Alligator mississippiensis: one gene and its partner. The protein of the gene in region 2 purifies or fractionates together with the protein of the main gene of each other region. This does not show direct contact. Links are inferred from orthologs where the notes say so. Each region holds a gene or a part of one and is shown on either strand. Other genes may lie near its edges.

Region 1 (6,859 bases), on a different chromosome or scaffold from region 2:
ATCCAGCCTCCCCAAAATCAAGGCTTGGCTGGCTGCATAAAAATTGGAATTTTTCTCCTGTGGTTTCACTGGCTGCTCCGTCTCCCCTTCAACAGGGTGAAACAGCCAAGGAAAGGCTAAGAGCTGTCTTCCTGCCACATAACTCTGTAGGGGACAAGAAGAATAACAGTCCATCATGGGCAAGCAAGAAGCAGTAGAGAGAGGCAGAGGGAAAGCAGTTGTGTGTTGGGAGGGGGGTTTGTAGGTCTCTGGGCTCCAGTCGCCTGCTTTGCCCAGGGGACTGGTTTTCTGTCTTGTTACTTAGCAAGGTTGGGTTTTTTTGGCTGAGTTACAAACTCAGGGAAAGGCCTGAAATTCATGGATTGCATACAATCATAAAATGATAGAAACATAGGGTTTAAAGGGACCTCCAGAGGTTATCTAGTCCAACCCTCTGCTCAAGACAGGATTATCCCTATCCAAACTACCCCAGACAAGTACCCTTCCAGACTAGTCCACACAAAATTGTATGTACAACCCTCTTGCCCAGGTATCAGGTACTGTGCCCAGAAACATCAAGGACACTTTAGCTGACCTCAGGTAAAGCAGGGAGATGGGGGTACTGTGCAGTCCTTTGTTAAGTATACTTGAGAGATCCACAGAAGAGAAGCATGCTTCCTGCTCCAGAGGAAGGTTATACCCTGCCTTCCCCCATAGTTCTTGCTGATCAGACCATGGGGCAAAATTCCTTCCTAATCCTAAATATGGTGATTGGTCTGGTACTGAGCAGAGGAGCAAGACCCTTTAGTCAGGAACCTCTGGGTTTAAGTCCCATCAGGACCCCAGACGTTTGCAGCTGCTGGAGGGAAAAATCTTCCTTCCCATCCCTCATATGGCAACTAGCAAAGTTCAGAAATGTGGGAAAACCAAGCACCCTCCATTGAATCACAAGCACAACTACACCCATCCATCGCGCGCTCTAACTACAGAGCCAGAACCCCTCTTTCTGTCATCCTATCCCTCCTATAAACTTGTCCCAGCTTTTCAACCCTGATTTATACATGAGCTGGTTGTGGAGCTCCGCTTCATTCTTCACATTCCACTCTGGATTCCAGAGCTCTTCACATGAGCCTCAAATGAGATGTACGTGTGGATCTCCTGGGCTTCCAGCCGTCGTTCTTCAATGCACACTGCAAGCATTGCTACCCCTAGGACATCCCTGACCAATGCTTATCCAATCTCTTCTTGAAAGCCTCCGATGAAGGAGGCTCCGCAGCTTCCCCAGACAGTCTATTCCACGGCCTCGCTGTTCTAACAGATTTTGCCTGGGCTGAAGAGGGACTTCATCAGTTTGCATCTTGTCATATTGAAGTATTGAGCTGCATGCTTTTAACCTTGGTAAAAGCCCCTCTGCATCGTATTTCTGAGACTAGTTTGCTGCTCTTGTTCTTCTCACTTGTCTGCAGCTTGTGTTTAGCCTCTGTTCGGGCCTGTCTCCAGCGAGGCTTGAATCAGCTTGGTGCCTTTCTAGAAATAAAAAAAAAAGGAAAACATGAATTCAGACTTCAATGTTGATAGATTTGCTGATCTCATTTATGCTGAGCCTTAACTCTAAATACCAGGCCCAGGCTCACATTGTCCTAGGGTGGTGGAATTTTCTCCCTGGTGAGATGCATTTTGCTGACTCATAGTGCTCACTCAAAGCAGATTCATGTTTAAAAAAGAATCCTGTTACCCCACAGGCTACAAGGTCAGATCCAGTTGATAGGACACTCACTCTCTGTTGGGATGAGCTACTAACTACGTTACTGTACTGTAACCAAGAGAGGTGACCAATGAACCAGGTATCTCCACGGTCACTTATCTAGAGCTGGGTCTGCTAGCCAGCGGTATAGCCATAGCAGCACAGACCAAAGGCGGTGTCTGCTCAGAGGAATAAATGATAGGAGCTTGGTTTTCCCATCTGAGATTCCTATTAATCTCTGGCTCATGCTGTCCTTGTTTTACATTATAGCAATGCTACTAATAACTTGTATCATCTTTTACAAAACGTTTACTCTCTCTGTGCCTCAGTTTCCCAATCTGTACAACGGGGACATTGCTTCCCTACTTTACAGGGCTGTTATGAGAATAAGTTTGCAATATACCTGGCATACATAAAGCATTTTACATCTGCAAGGCATCAAAGAATGTTATGAATGACAGAAAACAACACACTGCTTACAGCTTTTTCTATTACGGGGTATATAACAAAACTGATCTAATCGATAAGTGAAAGGGGTTGCTTTACACCAGAGATTGTCATCATTATTTGGCTGATGTGAATGTTCATCGCTATCCTCTACTGGAGAGAATCAGAACTGTTCAGATGCGTGTCAGACCGCACAGACGGCTAACGAACATTTTCCTCAGACTTTATGTTTGTAGGGCAGGAGGGTGGGAATTCTCTCTCGCTGCTGGGGCAGTGAAATCCTAAATGGCTAAATGGCGTGCAGCAAGTGCAACATACACAGGCCAGTATTGCTAACACTCGTGGGTTTCCTAAAATCTCAAGTGATTAGTTTGGAATTTAATTTTTCCTGTAACAATCTAGCCGATATAGTGCAGAGAAGAGCTTGAAACATCCTAAACATGATCAAGAAGCTCAAAAATCAGAAGGTAAATAAATAAACAGAGCATAATATTTATTATTTGTTTTTAACTTTTTTTTTTATGCAAGCAAATATAGAAGCAAAACTCCAACAGTCGAGTAACAGACTTGAATTGCACAAGATTAGAGGTATTATATATTTACAAAATAAATAATATAAAACAATTCTTATACCTTACCTGTATTATAAATAAAATGTTTATATATGTAAATATAACACTCATTAATGTTCAAACAATCTGGAGATGGACACTGGCTTAGTGGCTGTATGGATGTATGTGTGTATACACACACATATATGTGTATATATATGGATATGTACACATATGTGTGTATACATATATACGTATATAGATATGTATACACACATGCATATATATATCTCCATATTACATATATATGCATATATATACAGATGTGTGTACACACGCACACACACACATATTTGTGTGCATGTAGATAGATTGACTGTTAACTAGACAGACAAATAATCTATACAAATTAACTTTCATCACTTTATTATCTAATAAGAAATAAAGCATACCTAGATTATGTTTGGTCTATGTCATAGACCTGCCGTACTGTTTTGGTCCTTGCGTATTTATACATTCTTGCCCTAAAATTAACTTTATTTACCAGGGCCCCTGCTCCCCGCTCATAATTTACCCAGTCCAATCTCTGTCATTTGAATCTCCAAACAATCCTTATTTGCATATTTATAATTTTTAATCTCATGAGGTTTTTGTGGTGTGGACAACTTGATATTTACACTGCCTTGCACAGGATGCCCAATTTTCCTATTTGGCATTAGGACCCGCTTTCTCCGGACAGGAGGTGGCCCTCTCATGGCAGACGCGTGGGGCGGCTTTTTCTCCAGCCTCCCCTATCGAGCCAGCCGTGCCGCCACGAGGAAGCTCGCGAGACGCCTTTCCGAGACGCTGCCCCTTTAAGAGCCCGCCAAACCCTGCAGCAGCACTCCGTTCTTCTCCTCCTCTCCGGCCCCACCCCCCTGCCCGACGCCGAGCCAATCGCGGCCCACTTCCTCCCGGCGGAGCGCCAATCCAGGCGCTCCACGAAGGGCACCGCTGGGCGGGAGGCGGGGGAGGCGGGAGAAGCGACGAGCGACGGCATCGCGAGCCAATAGTGCCCGGAGGAAAGCCCCGGGGCGGGAAGCCGGCGGCCGGGTCGGCCAATGGGGGAGCGGAAGCGCAGAGCGGGGGGCGGAGCCAGTTCGCGCTAGATAGGCGGGCGGCGGCCCGGAGCGCGGCACGTGACGGGGGCGGTGGCGGCGGTCGCTGCTGCTTGGGGGGCGCGAGCCGTGAGGTGAGTGCGTGTCCCCCTCCTTCACCTCCCCCCGGGGCCGCCGGGCGCAGCCTGCGGGGCTGGGACCCCCACGGGGCGGGCGGGAAGGGTCCAGCACCGGTCCCTTCAGGGGCTCGGCCTACTCGGGCCGCTCTGGGCGGCCGGTGCCCTCCTGGGCGCTGCCTGGCACGTGCGCGCGCTCCGTCCCCGCCTGGAGGAGAAAGAAAAAGACTTTCCCCGATTGTGCCGGTTTATTCCCCACCTTTCTCGAGCAGGGGTGCGATGAGCTCGCGCCAAACGGGCTTTTTTCCCGCTTGGATGATGGTGCTCGCGTCGGGGGGAGGCTGCTTCTTACGTCTGCTGTAGAGCTGAGGAAATTTAAAATATTTTTTGTATTATCATCATTATTATTTCTATTATTATTATTCAGCCCGATGTAATAAACCTGACTTGCAAAATCGTGTGTCTGCCCGAGGCTGCGCTGAGCTGCTGGAGTCCAGCCACGAGGCCACTCAGGTTTAGCCAGAGCAGTTATTATCATCACAGTTTGGGGCCCAGCTGTCTCGCCTGCTCGGTGCAGGGGGCTGCACCCAGTGATCTTCCTGGCCTGACGGGTTATGAATTCAAGACACGTGTCTTGTGCGTAAATCCCTCTTCTGTGTTATTTTTTTTTTTTAAGGTTCTTTTAAAACAAAACCATCCCTCAGTCGTTTTCTGCAGAGCTTCTCGTGGAAACGTTGGTATCCAAATCCCGTTCACTGCTGGAGGGTCTGGAATATAGCCAGTGAGACTGATGAGTCTCTATTCATCCTGGATAGGGGAAAACCAATGCAAACTGGTAAAAGGAAGTGGTCAAATTTTAATAGCAGAAGTAGAAAAATCATCTTTTTTTGGAAGCCCTTTCATTAGACAGGTCTCACTTCTATTTAAAAATGATTTGGCTCCTTAAGGGTTGAGTGAAACACAGCCATCTTGGCAGGATGGGCAACTTAACTTTTATTTATTTATTTATTTATTTATTTATTTTTCATACCTCACTTCTTCCTCCTGTTAAATGCCTGTTTTTACCTATTTAAGCTTGATGCTTAAACCAACCCTGTTCTTTGTAAAGGTTTTTATTGCTTTGGAGTACAGGACAAATTAGACTTTGTTTCTAGATGAGATGTCAAGCTTTCTAAATAATCTCTTCACCTTGTAAAAAAAAAAAAAAAAAAAAAAAAAATCTTGCGGGGGTTGAAAGGAGTTTTTTTTGTGTTGCCTTAGCAGTTCCTGTGTGTTAACCATCAAAAAGCCTGCAGTGTTGTCTGTTCTCCAAGGACTTCCAGTTCTGCATGAATGACCTCTTTGCTGACAAACAGCGCAGAATTTTCCTTCGCCGTGCCTATATTGATGCAGCTTATTTTTAGAAGCTGACATGTTTGAAGACTGTTACTAAAAGCAGGTTTTTGCTTGGGTGTTGTATATTATTATAACTAATCTCTTGATTGTCTGAGCCTGTTATAGCAAACATCATAAAGAGTTGGCCCTGTGGGGGTGCTGGTTGAATTTCCTGGGCACAGCTGTAGATAACTAAAGAAGTTTCTGTGAAGTTCATGGAAATGTAGTATCTCTAAATGACGTGGTATTGATTAGCCCCCCTGTCTGCTATAGCCTCTTCTAGGAAAGGTGCCTTGGCTCGTGGTTGAAATTGAAACTTAAAGATTTAACTATATTAGAAGTTGCCATTCTAGGACTGGAAAATTTTGTTCAAAACTGGTGGAAGCAGGGGCTGTATCGGTGGATATATTTACTGTCTGTCCATAATACGATAATTCAAGTACAGAAGGGATGTAAGTAAATAGTGATTATGCTTTAACACTTCCGGATCATTGCTGTTCCTCACAGCTGCCTTTACTGTTGGTTTTGTTTTGTTTGTTTCTTTCCCTGAAGTGAAGTGTATGACTTTGTGTCCTTTGTACAAAATCAGTTGGCTTGAGGGTGTGTTGAGTAGTCTTTAGGAACCCTGGCTGAAGGGTAGGACCCATCTTTCTAGTTGTCCACAAACATACTGTGACAGTCTGTTTAGACCAGAGGTGTCCAACTCCTCTTGTGTCCTGGGCCAGACAGGCCATAGCTATCCCATAGCATGCAGCAACAGTGACGGCTCTGCCCCCCAACCCAGGGTATGCAGTGCAGCTCTGACTGCTGTCACGTGCTGGAGCTGCTGCTTGTGCTGCTACATTGTGCTATGGGGGCAACTCTGGTTCTGGTACGAGACATGCAGTGGCTTGAGCATGGGGCAGTGGCAGGGCCGGCTGAGCCAGTAGGGCTGAATCAGTGGCAATGGGCAAAGCCCTTCTGCCACTGATTGCCATGTCTATAGGGGCCCTTGGCCCTGCCTGCAGCAGGACACTCTATCCCCAACCATCTCCCCCAAAACTTCCAGTGGCTTGCTTGTAGCCTGGCTGGCTTCTTGTATGGCCCTCAGAACTGCTTGATTTGACACCCCTGGTTTAGGCAAAGCGTTAGTGAAAGGTAATGTTATCTTAATTTCCAAATGGAAGAACTTGGAAGACTGTCTTGGTGCACGTCATGCAAATAGTCCACTTAACTGTATGAACACAGGTTTCCACAGTCACGGCCTGATATTGGAACTGTGACATAATCTTTCCCCCTCAAACACTGGTCAGTATCCTCTGCCCACACATTTTGTAATACAGTGGCTGTAGTCCAAACCTTCATTTGGATTAGGCTCTCCTGCTCTTCCGAATTGGTTATTTAGAATAAATGCTTTACTAAATAGGCAAGTATGCTTTAACAAAGCACTACCAACAAATGGCAACCAAACAGTTAGTGGATTATGGTAAATTCTATGGCTTTAATTGCTTTAGGTTATAAGTGATTGTACAGCATTGCATAATTACAGTATGTTCCTTGCCCGGAAGAATC
Region 2 (7,737 bases):
CATTGCTATGTTAAGGAGAAAAAGTTTATGAGCTGGATGCTATTTCATAGGGCCCTCAGTCTTAGCACTGTAAGCAATTCAAGGCCATTCCTTACCTGAGAAAGATGAAGATGGCTTGCCGATAAGACACCCCATCAAGTTGCTCGTAATAATCTAAGAATGGTTTAATGGAGTCTATGAGTCCTGCGTGCATTTTATCCATTTCATCAAATATAAAAATTGACCTGGCGCAGTCACTCACATTCCCCCGAATCCAGGACTGCAGGTCATCCTATGGTACACAAAGATACAAGGATGTAAGCTCCATGTGCACAAGATCATACTGAACACACAGAGCACGCGATGACTTTAGATCCCTGTCTTTTGTATAAAAGATCTAACATAAAATTGTCATCCAACATAGCTTGGACTTCTTCACTGAAATCTGCATCAGAGCAATAAATAATGATGAAATAATACCGCAAGAGATTTACCTAAGGGTTCTTCAAATAACCTTAAGAACTCAAAAAATGAGATGCCAGAAATAATCTGCTCTTAGGAAAAGACTTTGTGCAAGCATCAGCAGAGGACAGAACTGTACTTTAGCCAAAACAATGACAATGAATAAGAAACAGAGATCTAACAGGACCAAGTGATGCCGTATATGGCATGCTACTTTCTTTGGATGATGCTTTGCATTTACATAGCACACTTCATCCTTTGACCTCAAAGTACCATACATCCACTTACTAGCTCAAATGCAGTCAACAAGAAGCTCTGTTCCTAGCTGTGCCGGTGACTGACTGTACAGCCTTAGATGGGAACAAAATCTAGAATTCATGATGTCTGGTTTTATCCTTTAACCACTAGCACATAATCTAATTGGAGGGAATTTAAAACATTTGAAAATGTGTGATTTTGTTCAGAAAAGTGGATAACCTTACTCAAGTGTTTTCTTACATCATATAAGAACACTTATGTTGTCTCACCACCTTCCACCCAGTCAAACACCTGCAGGTGGCTGCTCATTGCACCAGGTGGGCGGAGCGCATGAAAGGTAGCTGGAAGCTGGAGCCCCAAGCACTAGGGCAGAGCCACCTGGCTGCAGCTTCCCCCACCAACCCCCTGCCTGGCTGGGCACATGGTGCCAGGCTCACGTCCTCACAGCTGTCATCACTGCCCTGCACTACCTGCTGCCCAGAGTGGCACAGCCAGGGAAGCAGGAGGACGACGTGCTGAGCAGTACCCAGGCAGCTGCAGCAGCAGCAGTCCCTCCAGGAAGCTGTGCATGCTGGACAGGGCTGGGACTGTCAGCAGGTGCAGGCAGGACTCAGATCCCAAGCAGAGCAATGCAGAGACAGCCACAGGCCATATACAGTCAATTGGTAGGGGCCCACCTCTGGGCTAGATCCAAACAGCTGATGGGCCAAATCTGGCTCACAGATCCATATTTTGGCTCACAGGCCATATTTTGCCCACCCCGTGTCTATGTGTTCAGGACATAATATAAATATTCGCCAACTACTGAACAGGTGGAAAAGCATCAACCACAATTCACAGGAAGAAAGGAGGGTGAATTGTCCAAAACAGTCAGTGGCAAAGTCAGAACAAGAACTCAGAGAAATGCCATTTCTTGCGCACAGTCTCCGTCTCAGGTAGTTTTATGACCCTATTACTAGTTCATCTGAGCATTTCATGATCTTTGTATAACTGGGCCTCAACACTCCTTGTGAGGTACTACCACTACTTTACAGTTGGGAATTAAACCCGTCTCCCAACTTCCTGGCTTTGGTCACCACAGCTGTTTCAATCTATCTTAAGGTTTTCTATAGCACCCATCAGCATTATATCCAAGTGTGATACCCAATTGTATCCAGAATCCCTGTTATCATCAAGTCAACCAGACTGTTGGACCAAAATATACAACAAGGAAAATGAAAGGTCTCATACTCTCCCCCTCAAGAGGGATGTAAAAAGGTGCATAAACACCGTCTTCTACACCAGCGGTTCCCAAACTCTGAGAGATCGCACACCACCGATTTAAAACAATACAACCTTAAGTACCACCAGCAAATTTGTCGTATAAAGTAACTATAACAAAGCTGTTAGCACGTACCACTGACAGGTGGTCTGTGTGCCACTGGTGATACACGTACCACGGATTGGGAATTGCTGGTTCGACACGCTTCAGAAAGCGACAGAAGGGCTGTCCCTCACAATCGACCCTCAAGCGTGACCAGCTCCACAACGTGCCCTTACCGTATATTGCCTGATAAGACTCGCGTGTGGAAAATGCAGAGTGGACACAAACTGATGGACGTATTTGCTGTTCAAGCCCGACTTGTAAATGTTCTCGACAATGATTTTACTGGCGTAGTTCTTGCCTGTGCCCGTCCAGCCATGCAACGAGAGGGCGAGAGGCTTTTTGGGGTTCGCATTGCTCAGGAAGCCGGCGATGGCTTTGACAATCACCTTCTGCGCGAGGTGCTGGCCGAACAGCCTCTTCTCCAAATCCTGCTGCAGGGCTGCGGCGAACGCGCCAGCCGCGGCACGCAAAAAAGGGAGACGGCAGGTTTAAAGTCAGAACTTGGGAAGCGAGAGAGGACACCCGCTTCTTCACCCCTTCGAGGCGAGGGCTGGGCTGGGCCGGAAGAGAAGCGACTGCCCTCCCTAATGCAGGCCCCAGCTCCCCTCAGGGGCGCCCCAACCCCTCTCACAGGGCAGCCCCCCCAGAACAGGACACCTTCCCACCACAGCCCAGCCCGTCACGGGGCAGCCCCCTCCCTTCACAGGGCAGGGCCCCTCACCTGGCCCGAAGTGCCGGCCCAGGCGCGGCCCGCAGCACTCGGCGAAGAGGCAGTAGAGGGGCCGGTAGGAGATGTAGCCCGTGATCGCCGAGGCGGCCCCGGCCAGCGCTAGCCCCAGGCTGACGGGCTCCACGGCGCGCGCGGGGCTCAGCAGCAGCAGCAGCACCAGGCCCAGGGCGGCGCCCGCCGCGCCCCGCAGCCGCCTCATCCCCGGGCTCGCCGGGCCCCGGCCCCGAGCCCCTCACCGGCGCTTCCGCTTCCGCCGCTTCCGGCGCCGCCATTTTGGTTTGGGGCAGGGCGCGCGCGCGGCCATTTTGGAACGGGCGGGGCGGTCACGTGACCCCCGCACCCTCCTGCACGTGCAGTCGTTGTGCCTGCACACACACCACCCCTGCACAGGGAGCCAGGCACGACCCAACCCGTGTTATCTCAAGGCAGCGCACCAGAAATAAGGCCAGTAGTTGGGAATACCCCCCCCACCCCCCGCAATAAGTCCAAGCAAACAAAATGCAGGGTGCAGAGGTGACTCCCCGCAGCCACAGAGAAGCGGCAGCCAGCACAGCCGCGTTGTGGCCGGTCCCGTCGTTCGTTCGAGCCGGCTCCGAGAACAACCGGATCGAAGCTCGCGAGTTACCCGCCTCCAACGAGAACACACTGGAAAAGCACAAGTCTCGCTGCTCCGTTTTCTTCCTCCAAAATACACTTCTTCTGCAAAACTAATTTGGGTCCAATTTAAAAATCCGTGCAGTCTTAGGCTCTCAACAGTTATTTTCAGCGATGAGAAAAAAGCGGGGTCCATCTCCAGCACCAACCCCCTGAGTATCCCTGAAACCAGAGATTCGTATCCAGGCACAATTATGTTTCGAGCAGAAAGCAGCAAAAGTAAGCTGTCCTTATTAGGCAGGAAACTTGCCTAGAATGAAGCATTAAGTCAGTCCACGATGCATATCCACACATACTGGAAAGGTAGCCGATAAGCATTTTTTGATTAAAAACTTTTATTGACAAAATACAAATCTTATTTAGAAATCAGAGTAAAAAATGTCAGTAGTGTTTCGACGTATAAATATGACTGGCACATATAATAACTTTAGCTGAATCCTTACAGTACATAATTCTTTTTCAAGGTAGTGTTTTATCTTCATCTGTTCCTTAATAGCTCTGCCTCATGTTTGGGGGGAAAAGCAAGGATAGATCACAAACATACTAAACAGGATCGATTTATAAAAGTTGGTGAGTAAAGCAAACTGTCCCTTATGCCAACCACACAATAAAGAAGACTTAAGATGTGCGGTCAGTTCCCAGTGCCTGTGACTGAAACCAACTATCTGAACAAGAAGCCTCAATGGATTTTACCCAACAACCTTTTACATTGATCCCACAAGGCAGGAGAAACACCAGCATGAGAACAAACTGCGTATCCAACTTCACATATCAAAAAGCTAAAAGTACAGGCTACCTCCTCCATTGCAGGGACACTGTCACGGATTTTGCTTTAGGGTATGGTTTTTTTCTCAGCATTGTTGAAAAATACTCCCCTAGCAAGCTGGATGCCTCACACTGCTAACGCTGTTTGGCACCAAAGGATTTGCTCATAATGGCACTGCATAAAACCAGGTGATAAGGACCGGACGTCTTATACCAGGTTCTCTCACCTATTGGTTCCAACAGAGCTGAATGCACCAAAAATGTTTGTAGTCTAAGGAAACTGCCCCCCCCCTCCCCCCCCAATGTATTCACCATTCAAAGCAGGTCTGATGATATTCCCAACTACAACACCGAGGAAGGGTCCTGAAGACATAAGAGTTCTGTTTAAAAAGTGCCATACAATACCGAGATCATTTCCACATCAAATAACAACGTGGTGAAAACTGGCATAGCACGTGTACCAGGGTTCTACTGCACAACTAACAATCAACACCCGGTCTGAGAATAATCACGTTAAACAATGATCCATAAGGGGCAACTTCTCCATAGACACGTCTTTCCTAACTGAACAGCACAGGCCTGAAGTCTAAGGCTCTGCAGTCACTCAGTGGCACAGAGCCAGGAACAGAGCTTATTGTTGACTACATTTGAGCTAATAAATGAATGTATGGCAAACTGAAGACAAAGGAAGAAGTGTGCTCCCTAAATGCAAGGTGTTACCCAAAGGAAGTAATGTATAGTATAAGGCATTACATGGTCGTAATAGAGCTCTGTTTCTTATTAATTCTTATTTAAAGTACAATTCTTCCCTCTTTGTGGATTCTTGCACAAAGTCTTTTTAGGAGCTGTAGCTACTGAAAGTTTCCCCTGGATAAAAATGAAAGTGATTGCCACTTATTTAAATCAGACAGACAATTAAAAATGGTATTGCTCTCTTTTCTAAAAAAAAAAAAGAAAAAGTGCTTGAAAAATAATAAAAAGTTTTGGTTTTCCCCGAGCTTCTTAAGTTCATTTGCTGCTTTGCAGATTGCAGCATCATAAAACATTACTATTCCTAATCAAAATCAGCGTTGGGTATAGTTTTGCATCCTTTTCGAGAATACAATTTTTCCTCCTCGGGGAAGTAGGTCATTTCATCAGCTACTCTGCTTACAATGTCTTCATCCACAGGGTAACCACGTGTTTCCATTTCCACCCTGACACACATTTTCACATGTTCATACTCCAGAGGTAGGAAGGGGACAAAGAAATCAATGAGGTTTCTGTCTATCAGGCTGCTGTGCCAAAAGCCACCTGCAAAAAAAATAGAAGAAAGCACAAGCTTAGATACCTGAGGCATCTACCTCATTTGTAAAGAGGAAGAAAGCTGGGACATAACATTTCACTAAGCAGAGCTAGTCATCATGTTGTGAAGGTGCAGAGCAAATGTTACTGAGGGTGCAGGAACAAACCATCCCAATGCGCAGGAAGACTAGCAAGAATGGCAGAACAGCTTGGCTTAGCAGGGAATTCCAGTGAGCTAAAACACAAAAAGAAAGCTTACAAAAAGTGGAAACTTGGACAAATAACTATGGAGGAGCATAAAAGCATTGCTCAGGCATGCAGGGATGAAATCAGGAAGGCCAAAGCACAACTGGAGTTGCATCTAGCAAGGGACGTGAAGGATAAAAAGAAGGGGTTTGACAAGTATGTCAGCAACAAGAGGAAGATCAGGGAAAGTATGGGTTCATTACTAAATGGGGGAGGCAACTTAATGACAGAGGGTGTAGAAATGGCTGGAGCGCTCAATCCTTTTTCACCTTAGTCTTCACAGGCAGGTTCAGCTCCCAGACTACTGTACCTGGCAGCACAGTTTGAGGAGAAGATGAGCAGCCAACAATGGCAAAAGAACAGGTTAGGGACTATTTAGAAAAGCTGGATGTGTACAAGTCCATGGGGCTACACAGGGCACACCCAATGGTCCTGAGGAAGGGTGATTGCAGGGTCACTGGCCATTATCTTTGAAAACTCCTGTTGATTGGGGAAGGTCCCAGACAATTGGAAAAGAGCAAATATAGTGCCCATCTTTAAGAAAAGGAAGAAGGAAGATCCAGGGAAGTAGAGACCCATCTGTCTCACCTCAATCCCTAGAAAAATCATGGAGCAGATCTGCAAGTAATCCATTTCTAAGCACTTGGAAGAGAAGGTGATTAGGAACAGTCAGCATGGATTTACGAAGGGCAAGTCATGCCTGACCAACCTGATTGCCGTCTATAATGAGATGACTAGCTCTATGGATGCAGGGAGAGCAGTGGGCACGATATACCTTGACTTTAGCAAGGCATTTGATACGGTCTCCCACAATATTCTCTCAAGCAAATTAAGAAAGCACAGGTTGGATGAATGGACTGTAAGGCAGATAGAAAATTGGCTGGATTATTGAGCTCAGAGGGTAGCAATCAATAGCTCAAAGTTTAGTTGACAGCCGACATCAAGTGGAGTGCCCCAGGGGTCGGTCCTGGGGCCAGTTTTGTTCAATATCTGCATCAGTGACCTGGAAGATGGGATGGAGTGCACCCTCAGCAAGTTCATGGATGACACCAAGCTGGGGGGAGTAGTAGATACACTGGAAGGTAGGGCTAAGATTCAGAGACACCTCAACAAATTGGAGGTTTGGACCAAACGAAATCTCTTGAGATTCAATAAGGACAAGGATTGTTCCTGCACCCATAATGGAACAATCCCATGCACCAGTATGGGCTGGGACTGATTGGCTAAGCAGCAGCTCTGCAGAAAAGGACCTGGGGGTTACAGTGGATGTGGCAGAGCACCAGTGGGGTGCTCGCCACTTTAGGGCTGTCACAGGCTCTGGGGGAGCCTGTTTTGGGGAGCAGCAGGGAAAAGCCTTCCCTGTTAAACATTGTAAGGGCTCTGCCACCTTAAGACCTGGATCAGACAGCAGGCAGGTGCAGCCCAGCCCTGATGAGCAGCCTTTTAAGTACCACGCCAGCAGGGCTGGGGGCAGTACTCTGCTGTCAGATATGGAGGAAGTGATGTCTCCTGGAAGAGCTGCTGCTCTGAGAACAGCTTGGAGGTAAGGGTGAGGCTATGGGGAAGAAGGAGGCCTTAGTGGTCCTGGGCATGACCTAAAACCGCACCCTCCTGAGCTAGGGAGGCTTGGTGGTCCTGCCTGTGGCAGGGCAGGGCCAGCAAATTCCAGGATCAAGGACCTCCCTGGTGTATGGTGGGTTGGGGCACCTAAAGCCCTGCCCCTCCACCACTCGGTGGATCACAGTGATAACATCAGAGAGTAGTGGGGCCAGGGACATCCATAGGGGACACCTGTGCTCATTGGGATGCAAGATCCTGAAGGGGAGTAGTGGAGGCCAGGTTTGCTTTGAGAAGCACCTGAGCCTGAAGGGATGGAAGACCCTGTAAGAAGAGCAGTTCAGTCCCTGAGAGAGGGGGCAAGCTGTGGGCCAGGCACATCGATGAGTGGCACCTGAGTCCACGGGGGGTGTTCGACCCCAGGGCACAGGGCAGA

The links. The genes of interacting proteins can lie anywhere in the genome.
Region 1: the proteins of torsin-1A (region 2) and CANX purify together in Homo sapiens (affinity purification with mass spectrometry; 4 studies listed by BioGRID and IntAct, counting the BioPlex papers as one, with this or other methods). This does not show direct contact. The link is inferred for Alligator mississippiensis from reciprocal best matches to the Homo sapiens genes TOR1A and CANX.

What each region holds. Positions count from the first base shown.
Region 1 is NC_081832.1:74,511,730-74,518,588, forward strand, and holds the start of CANX (calnexin), read left to right. Parts: upstream 1-3,855; 5' UTR 3,856-3,952; intron 3,953-4,395; exon of another isoform or gene 4,396-4,570; intron 4,571-6,859. UniProt on the Homo sapiens protein: Calcium-binding protein that interacts with newly synthesized monoglucosylated glycoproteins in the endoplasmic reticulum. It may act in assisting protein assembly and/or in the retention within the ER of unassembled protein subunits.
Region 2 is NC_081835.1:58,706,743-58,714,479, forward strand, and holds the start of torsin-1A, read right to left. Parts: upstream 3,017-7,737; 5' UTR 2,995-3,016; coding exon 2,787-2,994; intron 2,505-2,786; coding exon 2,239-2,504; intron 272-2,238; coding exon 96-271; intron 6-95; coding exon 1-5. Other genes in the region: torsin-1A, read right to left, coding at 5,269-5,507. UniProt on the Homo sapiens protein: Protein with chaperone functions important for the control of protein folding, processing, stability and localization as well as for the reduction of misfolded protein aggregates.